Arabidopsis thaliana: one gene and its partners. The protein of the gene in region 1 purifies or fractionates together with the protein of each later gene. This does not show direct contact. Each region holds a gene or a part of one and is shown in the gene's direction. Other genes may lie near its edges. The genes, in order: RRP41, AT2G25355 and CER7.

What was found.
Region 2: the proteins of RRP41 (region 1) and AT2G25355 purify together in Arabidopsis thaliana (affinity purification with mass spectrometry; 2 studies listed by BioGRID, with this or other methods). This does not show direct contact.
Region 3: the proteins of RRP41 (region 1) and CER7 purify together in Arabidopsis thaliana (affinity purification with mass spectrometry; 2 studies listed by BioGRID, with this or other methods). This does not show direct contact.

The regions. Positions count from the first base shown.
Region 1 is NC_003074.8:22,802,320-22,806,072, reverse strand, and holds the start of RRP41 (3'-5'-exoribonuclease family protein), read left to right. Parts: upstream 1-1,968; 5' UTR 1,969-2,238; intron 2,239-2,880; exon of another isoform or gene 2,881-2,992; 5' UTR 2,993-3,051; intron 3,052-3,151; 5' UTR 3,152-3,162; coding exon 3,163-3,216; intron 3,217-3,305; coding exon 3,306-3,352; intron 3,353-3,444; coding exon 3,445-3,505; intron 3,506-3,597; coding exon 3,598-3,639; intron 3,640-3,718; coding exon 3,719-3,753. Other genes in the region: CRF6 (cytokinin response factor 6), read right to left, coding at 1-799. UniProt on the Arabidopsis thaliana protein: Non-catalytic component of the RNA exosome complex which has 3'->5' exoribonuclease activity and participates in a multitude of cellular RNA processing, maturation and degradation events.
Region 2 is NC_003071.7:10,799,048-10,802,800, forward strand, and holds the start of AT2G25355 (PNAS-3-like protein), read left to right. Parts: upstream 1-2,043; 5' UTR 2,044-2,343; coding exon 2,344-2,394; intron 2,395-2,486; coding exon 2,487-2,561; intron 2,562-2,802; coding exon 2,803-2,889; intron 2,890-3,085; coding exon 3,086-3,142; intron 3,143-3,486; coding exon 3,487-3,579; intron 3,580-3,753. Other genes in the region: AT2G25350 (Phox (PX) domain-containing protein), read left to right, coding at 1-541, 659-823, 944-1,186, 1,310-1,651.
Region 3 is NC_003074.8:22,351,814-22,355,566, forward strand, and holds the start of CER7 (3'-5'-exoribonuclease family protein), read left to right. Parts: upstream 1-2,086; 5' UTR 2,087-2,303; intron 2,304-2,411; exon of another isoform or gene 2,412-2,428; 5' UTR 2,429-2,431; coding exon 2,432-2,568; intron 2,569-2,792; coding exon 2,793-3,002; intron 3,003-3,099; coding exon 3,100-3,195; intron 3,196-3,285; coding exon 3,286-3,400; intron 3,401-3,504; coding exon 3,505-3,585; intron 3,586-3,675; coding exon 3,676-3,753. UniProt on the Arabidopsis thaliana protein: Probable 3'->5' exoribonuclease involved in the regulation of cuticular wax biosynthesis by controlling the expression of CER3. May act by degrading a specific mRNA species encoding a negative regulator of CER3 transcription.

The DNA.
Region 1 (3,753 bases):
TTTTGGTTTCTTCATCGAGAAACAAAAGGTCAGGGGCAATTTCGGTATCCCAAAAACATTCGCCGGCGAGAGATAAATCCGGTAACAGATACGGATCCGGGAACACCAAACCCGCCGACGATTCTTCTTCTTCTTTTATAACCGTCGACTTTCTCTCCGGAGATAGCTCGATCGCTTCAATCTCATGCTCTGTTTCCTCGTTGACGTTGAATCTTAGAACAGAGGTCGGTGAATGAAGGCTCTGCCGAGAATCTCTACCGTAATCGCAGGCGGAAACCGTTTGGAGATCGATAACCGGCGTTGGCGTCGGCGGAGTTAGGAAATTCGTGAGCGCTTTAGGTCCTTTGAGATGAATCGCGGCTCTATCGTACGCTATAGCAGCTTCCTCCGCCGTGACAAAAGTCCCAAGCCAAATCCGAGTACGGCTCGACGGATCTCTAATCTCCGCCGCGAATTTTCCCCAAGGTCTCTGTCTCACGCCTCTGTACTTTTTAGGCTTCACCGACGTCGACACGTCATCTTCAACCACTACGCTTTCCTCCTCCTTGTGCTTACCTTTCCTCGCCGCGGTGGAGGAAGAAGATTCACCTTGGCAGAATCTAATCTCCTTCACGTATCGTTTCACTCTTGGAACCACCGTGACGTTGTTGTTGTCGTCGTCGTCGCTAGACGAGTCAGTAGCGAAAGGATCAGTAACAGTGATACGGACCAGTCTCGGAGACCCGTTAGATGGTGTAGCTGCTACGTTTGTGACCGTACGATTCTCTGTGAACTTCACTCGTCTCGTTCGTCTCTCCATAGAGAGAGAGAGAGAGAGGGAGTTAAAAAATGAAGAGAGGTTTTTTTCACTGTTTTGAATTTGCAGAGAGAGAGAGAAGAAGAGTCAAAAGGTTAAAGAAGAATCGCCGTTTCTCAGGAACATCCTTCTTAAATACTATTAACTCATCACTATTTTTGGAGATTTTTGTTTAGTAACGTGATTTTTTCTATGTAATTAATTTAATTAGATTTTAACTGTTACAGAGAAATTGATGCGTGTTCAACACTATTCATATGATATGAGACACTGACCCAATCAAAACTCATTCAACCTTATAACTAAACGTATCTTAAAATATAGTTGGTGAAATGACATACGTTTATCAAAGCTTAACCTATTGAAATTTAATCCGGTTAATGGAGTTTATAAACCGGGAATTAGATTTGGATTTAATGTAAAGAGGGACGATGCTTAAGGGCGGTTTCGTGGCGGCCAATGGGGGATCCAGAAACGGCTTTCCGCATCTCAGATTGAGACGTTAGATTTATGACACGTGGTAGTTACCGTACCGAAAGTAGAGCCAATTGTCCTAATCTATAGCTTGGTCTCCAAGCAACTTTTAACTCTTTTACGCGCGGTCTGTTTTACGTTTGCTACACGCGCCGGCTAGTGGGCTCCACGCGTGTGAGATTGGTCACGAGTATGTGTCAATTCGCATTGACCCAATATGGAAATTGTGAAGTTTAATGGTAATGAATCTAACGATGTGTTTGAAAGAGTAATAAAATCTCGTCTTTAATATTAAAATATATTTTTAATTTCGGAAAAAATTTATGATCTTTTGCTTGGAGACCAAGTCTCTTATCAGAAACTTTATTAGAAAAAGCTACTATTAAAAAGGTAACTAGAAATTAGATTTCCATAGTTAATGGTTGAGCTTTGACTAGATTTGGTCCTAAAATAATAATTGAAAAATAAGCTTTTATTATATCGATAATTCTACAAGTTAATATACCAAATCTTGTAACTTACAGTAATTCTATATTGTTTTATTTTGAACCTTATATAACTTACACGAATTCACCTGTGATTTTATAAAAAGATACATGTGATTTCAAGACTTTTTTTTTACGTGGGATTAGTCAGGTACTCGTGTTAAAAGTTAGACCTTAAAAATAACAGTCAGTTTGATTTAATAATAGTTAGTAGTATGTATATGGAACATTAAGTCGGAGAGGGGTTAAACTCTAGTGTATCGGGTTGCTTGGCATGGAACAGATATCGCGGAACCGGTAAGTCGGAGTGGTTAGCTTTCTGGGAGAGTTGTGGTGGGTTGGTGCGACGGCGGAGATAGGTGCAGATGGAAACCGGAATCTTCCAGCTGCGTTTCTCGATCCGTCGTCTGCGGCCGCAAAGCTGTGATGCTTGAGTCCGCCAGATATAAGGCTCCGACCACTCTGCTTCCGACCAGCAGCAAGGTTCGAACCTCTTTGTTTGTCGGTGACTTTTTCTGTTTAACCTATTTTGTAACTGGATTTCATCTGTGTATTGGGTCTTAGCCCATGCCCTATTGGGTTGTTTTTAATATATTAAAAAAAAAAAAATTGTATATGGAACATTAAATTGCATGACATTCGTTAGGATAGTCGTAGTAGGTACTACTTTTACTAGGTAGAGACTAGAGAGTGGTCTCTCTTAAATTGTCTAATATGGTTTTGTATACTTTTTGATCCAAACATACATACATAAAAAAAGAAGATGTTAGCAAACCTTAGTAAATAATTCCATCATCTCCTCCGTCAGGAACCCGTCATTTTCATATACCTCACTTTGCATTCATTTGTCGGCATTGCCACACGTAACTCCCGACACGTTGATACTACTATCAATATACTATTGACTTAGAAATTGATCTAGATACTATATTACTATTACTAATACATACTTGAAATAACAGAGTCAACAAGAAAAGCCTTGATAAAAGAAAACAACAACAATTTGAGCTATACTTTTGAAGGGATCTCACTCTTAATTCTCTTATTGCATGCATGTTCCCGCAATTTTGAGCTTTACTTTTCTTTGCAAGCGAATTACCAATTTGCCTGGCTTCATAAACTAGAAGTTATAAAAAAAAATCCTCCTGTGATTTGACGGTTTTACCCTTAAAATCTCACTTAATTCACAAAAAGGAACCAAAAAGCCCTAATCTTTATGTTGTCGACACTCTTTCAGTTCTCTCGACGCCGTCCATCGCCCTCCGTCATATCGCCGCCGCTAAAGTACTGGCAGAGGTAAATTCGTCTCTTGTTCCCTGTTCTGTGGGATCAGAAAGTATTAAACTTGTTCTGTTTCTGTCTTTCATTGCTCTCATCCTTGATTATCTCTACCTAGAGTTCACAACAATGGAGTACGTAAACCCTGAAGGTCTTCGATTAGATGGTCGCCGATTCAACGAGGTATGTTTGCATCTCTATTCACTGTCTTTGTAAGCCACTGCCTTCACAAGTTAATCGGTCTATTCGTGATTGCTTGTAATGAATCTCAGATGAGGCAAATCGTAGCTGAAGTTGGAGTTGTTTCTAAGGCTGACGGGTAAAACTCAAAATCTGTCTCTTATCTTTTTCCGTATCTCAGTTCTATATTCGGCACTTTTATATGAACAAAAATTCCAACTTTGTTTCCAGTTCTGCTGTCTTCGAGATGGGTAATACCAAAGTAATTGCAGCTGTTTATGGTCCAAGAGAGGTACTTGATTACTCTGTTACTCACCTATCAAGATTGATACTTTAATTGTATAATTCAGCGAATTGGTTATTTCTGTTAATGTGCTCCTTCAGATTCAAAACAAGAGCCAGCAAAAGAAGAACGACCATGCAGTGGTATGTATATGCTTTGATCTTGTTTAGTATTGTTCTTGGTGAATATGGAATGCTTATTGCTAATTGTATGTTTTGGTAGGTGTTGTGTGAGTATAGTATGGCTCAGTTTAGTAC
Region 2 (3,753 bases), on another chromosome or scaffold:
GACAAATCCAACAGAGAAGCTTGTAAAGTTTAGCATGTCCAACATTGACGAGGGACTGAGTATGAGTCAAACTATTATCGAGCAGCTAGAAGATTTTCCTAAGCACAGAGTCCATTTAGGATATGCCAATGATATCACAGAGACGAATTCGTACAATGGAAAAGCTTCTAAAGGTGTATTTCGAGCAAACAACGACTTACGGTGTCGCTCTGAATCAGAAACTAGTCACTCAGTGATGCATGATCGAAAGCTTTCTCTTGAGAGCGCTGACGGGGTTTCGTTACTAGCCGGTGAGACATCAACCTCTAGTATCTTGAGCTCCATTGTACATAGCCAGCTGGATGTTAATCATGATATATCTGTTGGTAACCTGGAGATACCGGGTAATGGACGAATAGTTCTCCCGCTGAAAATGCATAGTAAATTAAATAGGATTCTATTAACTATGAATGAGAGACTTCTCAATTCAAAAACAGACATGGAGGATCTTATAGCGAGACTAAATCAAGAGACAGCGGTGAAGGAATATCTGAACAGAAAGGTACATGATTGAAAATAATAGTACATCTGTTTTCAAGTTTGTTGGTAATGAAATCTGCGCTTCTTCCTTTACTCTTCATGCGAATGTCATATATGTAATCTTGGTTTTCCTGTTCAGGTTGATGATCTGGAAGTGGAACTTGAAACTACTAAACAGAGAAACAAAGAGAATTTGGAGCAAGCTTTGATGACCGAGAGACAGAGTGTTACCAAGATGCAGTGGGATATGGAAGAACTCAGGCAAAAAACTTTTGAGATGGAACTGAAGTTAAAGTCAAAAGAGGTATTGAAATTTGAAATAGTTCCATCTCAATCACATTCTTTCCACAATTAAGCAAGTTCACATCGAGCGAGTAATTTATATCTAGCAAAGTAACTTACTGACACCTGCAAACTAATACAGGATGGGAGTTCAGATTCTAAGACGTCAGGAAACTCAACAATCTCTGAGAGCCATGAGCTGTTACAAGAAATGGATGCCACAAAACAGCAACTGGAAGATCTTTCTAGACGGTATGTTGAACTGGAGGCAAAATCAAAGGCAGACATAAAAGTGCTTGTCAGAGAGGTCAAATCCCTGAGACGTTCACATATGGAAATGGAAAAGGAACTGACTCGATCGCTGACAGAGAAGTCTGACACTGAGGTAAATCTTAAGCTTGTAAATAAAAAGCATTATATTATTGCTTGCATCATCCGCTTGTGGTAAATGTATATGATCCTACAGAAAGAACATCAAAACATACTGAAACATGTTTAATTTTTTCAGAAACTCCTCCAACAGGAAAGGATAATAGTCGAGAACACGCTAGAAGCAAGAAGAAGGCTGTATAGTGACTGTGAAATTCTCCACGACAGGCTTAAAGTGAACAACACAAACTTGTCAATGGATGAGTCCAGTAACAACAGAGAAGACTTATCTGAAGTATCAAATGCCTTGCAAGATCAGATTGAGGTAAGCTATTGGTGCATCTCCTTTAATATCTGTAGCAAGAAAAATCGTATTCAAATGTTTACATTCGATAACCATGGCTCAAAATCGCCAAGCTGGATTCCTCGTTTTAAATTTGAAAGTGGCATATTTTCAGGCGCAACTGCTGTTAGGGTTTGATGAGACTGCTTCTGAGGATGAGCTGAGGAAGATAATGGCAGATATGTATGAGGACTGAGGAGAATATCAAATTGAGAAAACATTTGAATTCCGCAATGCAGGTTAAGAGCTCTGTGAAAGAGGAAAACGAAAAACGCAGAAGGTGAAGAGCTTATAGAATAGATATACCATGTACAGAGAAAAGTAGAGCAGAAAGTTGGTTAGTGACGTAAATCCCTTATTTTGAATATGCGAGTCAGATTCTTCTTTATGTAATTAATTGATGTATATGCACACACATGTCTACATCAGATCACCTAATCCATTGTAAAATTCGAAACCATCAGTGTCATTGTTTCTTGTTCACCAAAAACAACTACCATCCATCACTCATGGTCCACAGAGCAGTCGTTGAAAATCAGTGAAAGAAGTGTCATTTTGTCCCAAAAAAAAAGGAAGGACGAAGGAGACTTTTTAGTTGACCAAATCATATGGATCTACTAAACCGAAATAAACCACTCATAACCATTATAGTAAATTACTTGGTTCGGAGTTTTTAATTTCCGATCGTCTTCAACATCACCAAAGCAAAAAACTTTAGGGTTTTAGTGTTTTTTAGGGTTCTTCTTTCTCTCTACCTCTCAGTTCTGCTTTTGCTCTGTCTCCCTTCATTGGATAAATCAATTGGTGTTGTTAGCGAAGAAATAAGAAAGATGGGTACTGAAGTTTCTACCTCGCCGACAAGCCTCATTGATCAGACTGTTGTGCGTATTTTCTACTAAAACCTCTGCTTCTTTGATTATCGTTTTAGATTGGGATTACATTGAAAGATTAAGTTTTGTGAGATGGGTTTCAGGTTCCAGGTGATGTTGTTCTCGATTTATCAAACATGACTAACCAAACAATCAAACTCGGCAGTGGTCTCCGTCAGGTTTTTAACTTTCTCAAAATCACTTGTTCCAAATCTTCGATCATTTTTTTGGAGTTTGAAATTTGTTGTGTTGAGTGTATGAATGAATTAATGAATGTTTTGCTCATTATTAAACAAGTTATGTTGAATTTTGGATCTTGCATTGGCATTTGAGGAATAAACTTAATTTGGAATCTACAGTTTGCTTTTTGTTGGGCTTGCAAGGCTAGAAGATTGACATATGATTTTGAGGTTTTTTCAGGATAATGAGGTGATATCTGTTATGAGAGCTGGGAAGTTGAGGTACTCTAAGCCAAATAAGTATTGGGTGGAAAGTTCTCATAAAAGGGTGAGAACTAATTAGTTTCTTGCTGGTTGTATTTTGCAATAAATTGGTACCTTTTTCCTGATATCTCCTAGCTCTACTAGTTATTCGATTGTTCATCTGCGCTTAACTTGTCGAAAAAGTGGTGGTTTTGCTCTCTAGTTTGAAGAATTACTCCATGTTACTCGATTTTGACTCTGTTATTATGTTTTTTTTGCAGTATGTACCTCGTCCTGAGGATCATGTTCTTGGCATTGTGGTAGATTGTAAAGGAGAAGTAAGTACTCTAAAGACGATCCTTAAATTTTTGTTAGAGATCCTTTTCCCTTGGACCCTCTGAATCAAGCATTTTTTCTCTGTATACAGTTCATTTAATGCAAAAATCATGTATAAAGAATATTGATTTCGGTTGTGCTCTATCATTATCCAACTTCTATCATTGCTCAGCTTGTTTGTTAGTTACATGTATATGTTAATAAATACTTGAGATCATGGATAAAGAAAACGGCATAAGCCTTTATTTAGAGTGTTGCCCCTAGAGTTCTCAGCCAAAGTCATGTTGCATGTAACAAAGTAGATCATAATATTTTGAAAATCGTTTTGACACATGTTTCATTGCAGAACTATTGGATAGACATTAAAGGACCACAATTGGCTCTTTTGCCTGTGCTTGCATTTGAAGGAGCAAACAGAAGAAATTATCCCAAGTTTGAGGCAAGTACCTTCTGAATATACTTCTTCAATCTGAACCATCATCAAAATAGTCTCTAGCTGGTAACTGCATTCAGTTGTTTGAGATGTTAGTATTGCCATTACAGTGTATTGAGAATTTCCCTGGAAATTACAATGGCTTGTGTGTGATATTGAAAGGATCCAGTACTTCATTGG
Region 3 (3,753 bases), 450 kb from region 1:
TTTTTCTTGTGTGTGTAGTTAAGTAGACTCATGAATTACGACTGAGGCCACTGATTTAAAAAAAACATATAAAGATAGTGGATGTGGTAGTGAGCTCACTATCACATTAGTTTTACGTACATGTATTATTAAACATGCCGAGCAATTAGTGTGTACTTATTCTATATTCTCATGATGTTAGGATTTGAATTGAATGTGTGTGTGTGTGAGCCTCCATAGAAATTAACAGGAAGACATAAAGAGTCTTCTTTTTTTCATTGGTTTAGTGGTGGCATGAGTATCTACTTGATAGCAGCCAATCTTTTTATACTATTCTTATCTAAGTAATTAATAGATATATATCCTTTTTTATAATGGGTTCCTCAGCCGTGAGTAATATACTTAGCTCCCACACTTACCTAATCTTTTGTATTTTTTTTTTCATTTTTGGGGGAAATGATTATGATTATTGCTGATACATTACAATATCCATATCCGTTTCCACACGAATACCTTTAGACTTTGGACAATACTATAAATTAAAAGCTTACAAATTACAAGGAGCTGAATTCTTCTTTTGGCGCCTTCCATTATGCACATAGACTAGTCCAAGTATAATTGTACACATAATTAATTTATCAAATAAAACATAATTAAAATAAAAGTGTATATATATATATATATATATATATATTAAAACATGCGATCTTTATCTTTGGAATAAAGTGGGGGAAAAGAAAAAATAAGCAAACAGAAAGAAGAAAAATGAAAGCAACAGCAGAAGAAGAAAACAATGGAGATTCATATTGTTCACTCTTACTAAACATTTTTTCTTACATCTCAATCAAAAGAAATGAAAAAAAGAAGAAGGAAATTTGGAGAGCATGTGGGGAAAGCTGAAATTGTTATACCAAAATTAGCGAAACGTACAATTGAAAACCAATCGGAAATAATGAAAGTAAACCTTAACTAATTTCATTCAAATAAGTTAAGAGAGTTACTTATAATGTAATTTCAAAATTTAAAAAAAAATTGGGCAAACAATATCAAAGATTTAAGCTGTCTCCGGCTCGTTCATGTAGACTACATGATGTAGTTTGTGTGTGCGTGAAGCAAACATAAACATGGTTCTATCAGTTTCTAGATTCATCCCAACATGTTTCTTGTTCATAATTAAGTAATAGTAAACAATCCAAATTAAGATGATCATAAAGATACAACCATATCTTCTTGACCCTTACCAAATAAGCAGTTTTTTTTTTCTTTTCTCTTTTTAAAGAATTCGATGTGGTTCCAAGTTTAGGAAAGAGGACGGAACTTAAGAAGAGACACTAATTAAGTGACTTAAACCAAGACATGGTGACGAAAAGATCCACAAGAGGCAAGGCATCTCGCGGAATCTGTAAACTTTTTTTGGCTGCTCATAACAGACTTTTACGCTTGATAGTTTCTTTAGAAATATAGTTCTCGTTGAAGACTTTAAATAGCTGATGATTCTTGAAATAGAGATCGAAGGATTGAAAGCTTGCTCAAAATTCTCTCATTGTTAATAAATAATCGTTTAAAGTCTTAATTAGTCCAAATGTTGAAGAAAGTACAGAAAACGATATATTTGAGTGGTGCTGCTGGAACAAGTAGGATAAAATACGTACAAGCAATACAAATCTAGTAAGTGTACATGCATGATCTTCAATTCTTGAGGATTTTGTGGGAAAGATTCTGAAAACTGTACTGGCTTGTTGAATATTCTAAATCTAAAATACAATTTATCAGTAAGTAAGCAAACATGTGCGTCAAAGTTAATCTTTCCAAGCTGAAACAACAATTGCTGAGATATTAAAAAGTTCAACATACTACTCATTGACTTTCTTAACATTTACACCAAAAAGATAAAATAAAAAACTCATTGACGTTTTTCCCTTTGAAGTTAGTAGCCCAAAAAGCATCAAGATAATGTCTGTAAGCCCATGGGCTTATATCCATTATAATTTTTTTTGTCAAATAACAAATAATATATGAAACGACGTCGGTAACAGCTGAAACGACGCCGGTGTTTGTTGATCCAGAACGACAGCGTTTTTAGTTATTCACCCTCTCGAATTTTTCCGAAACCTGTGTTTTCCCATCACCAAGCTTTCTCTGAATCGCCGCCGTGTTTACATTTACTGTTGTTAAGGCCGAGAGATAGATAGAAAAAAACATCTGTGCGATTTTGCCGCCTCTCCCTAAAATCTTTGGAGCTCCTTCGTAGTTAGCCGGAGGTGAAGTACAATAAAAGAAAGAAGAAAGTCCAAGTGTCTCTTCTCATCTCTTTTCTCCAGTAGGTACGTTTTGGTTTAATTTACAGAGTTGATTCTAAGCCTAAGAGAAGGTTTTCTATCGATTAGAGTGTTTGATTTGCTGTAAGGGTTGCTCAAAGTTTTGATTTTTAGTTTACTAGTGATAGCAGATAATGGAGGGGAGATTGGCTAATATGTGGAGGTTGACTGTTAACGAAAGTAAATTCGTGGAAACTGCGTTGCAATCTGAGCTCAGAGTAGATGGTCGTGGCCTTTATGATTATCGCAAGCTTACTATTAAGTTTGGCAAGTAAGTGCTCATAGAACTGCTTATTGATGCCGTTTCTTTTCTGCACTTTGTAGGCTTTGTTTGCTTTCTTTAGCTCTAAAGCTTCCCTCTTTGTCGAGTTTTGTGATAAATTTGAATGTAGATAACTTTGTTCAGTCTATTACCTCTGTTAGAACGAATACTAGCATGCTTTTCTTTTAGTGTTTGTAACCAAAGACAGCTTTTAATCTCGTTTGAATTAACAGAGAATATGGTAGCTCGGAAGTTCAACTTGGTCAGACTCATGTAATGGGTTTCGTGACTGCTCAGTTGGTACAACCTTACAAAGACAGACCTAATGAAGGGTCTCTCTCGATCTTCACGGAATTTTCTCCAATGGCTGATCCGTCTTTTGAGCCTGGTCGTCCTGGCGAATCTGCAGTGGAGTTGGGACGCATTATCGATCGTGGTCTAAGGTAAATGTTTTTTTGGACAAACTTTGTTGATGCTGCAAGAGTATTGCTGGCTGTTCTGGTTGGAGTAATGGTAAGTTGGTCTTTGTGTTGATTGCAGAGAAAGCCGTGCAGTAGATACAGAGTCACTCTGCGTTCTAGCTGGAAAGATGGTTTGGTCTGTTCGCATTGACCTTCATATCTTGGACAATGGAGGGTAAGTTTTGTTGGCTACAGTATATCTCATTGAAGGTTCTGGTTTTAAAATGATCTTTAATGCGTGTTTTTGTTACACATTTATGTATAGGAACTTAGTTGATGCTGCAAATATTGCTGCTTTAGCAGCTCTCATGACATTTAGGAGACCCGACTGCACTGTAGGAGGAGAGAATGGTCAAGAAGTGATCATACATCCACTAGAGGTTAGTCATATGTTTTCGGTTTAGAGAAACTTGTAAGAATTTGTTAAGTGGAGAAGACAGTTCTTAACTTTAACTGTTTGTTCTATCTTTACTTTCTTTTGCAGGAAAGGGAACCACTTCCATTGATAATACATCATCTCCCAATAGCCTTCACGTTTGGATTTTTTAATAAAGGCAACATTGTGGTAAAAACAGTTGTATTTTTAGTGAGAGTCTAGTTTGCTTTTTCTTTTTTCTTTTCTGAGATATAAAGTGTGATGTGTTGTTATATGCAGGTGATGGACCCAACTTATGTTGAAGAAGCAGTTATGTGTGGGAGAATGACTGTGACAGTTAATGCCAATGGCGATATA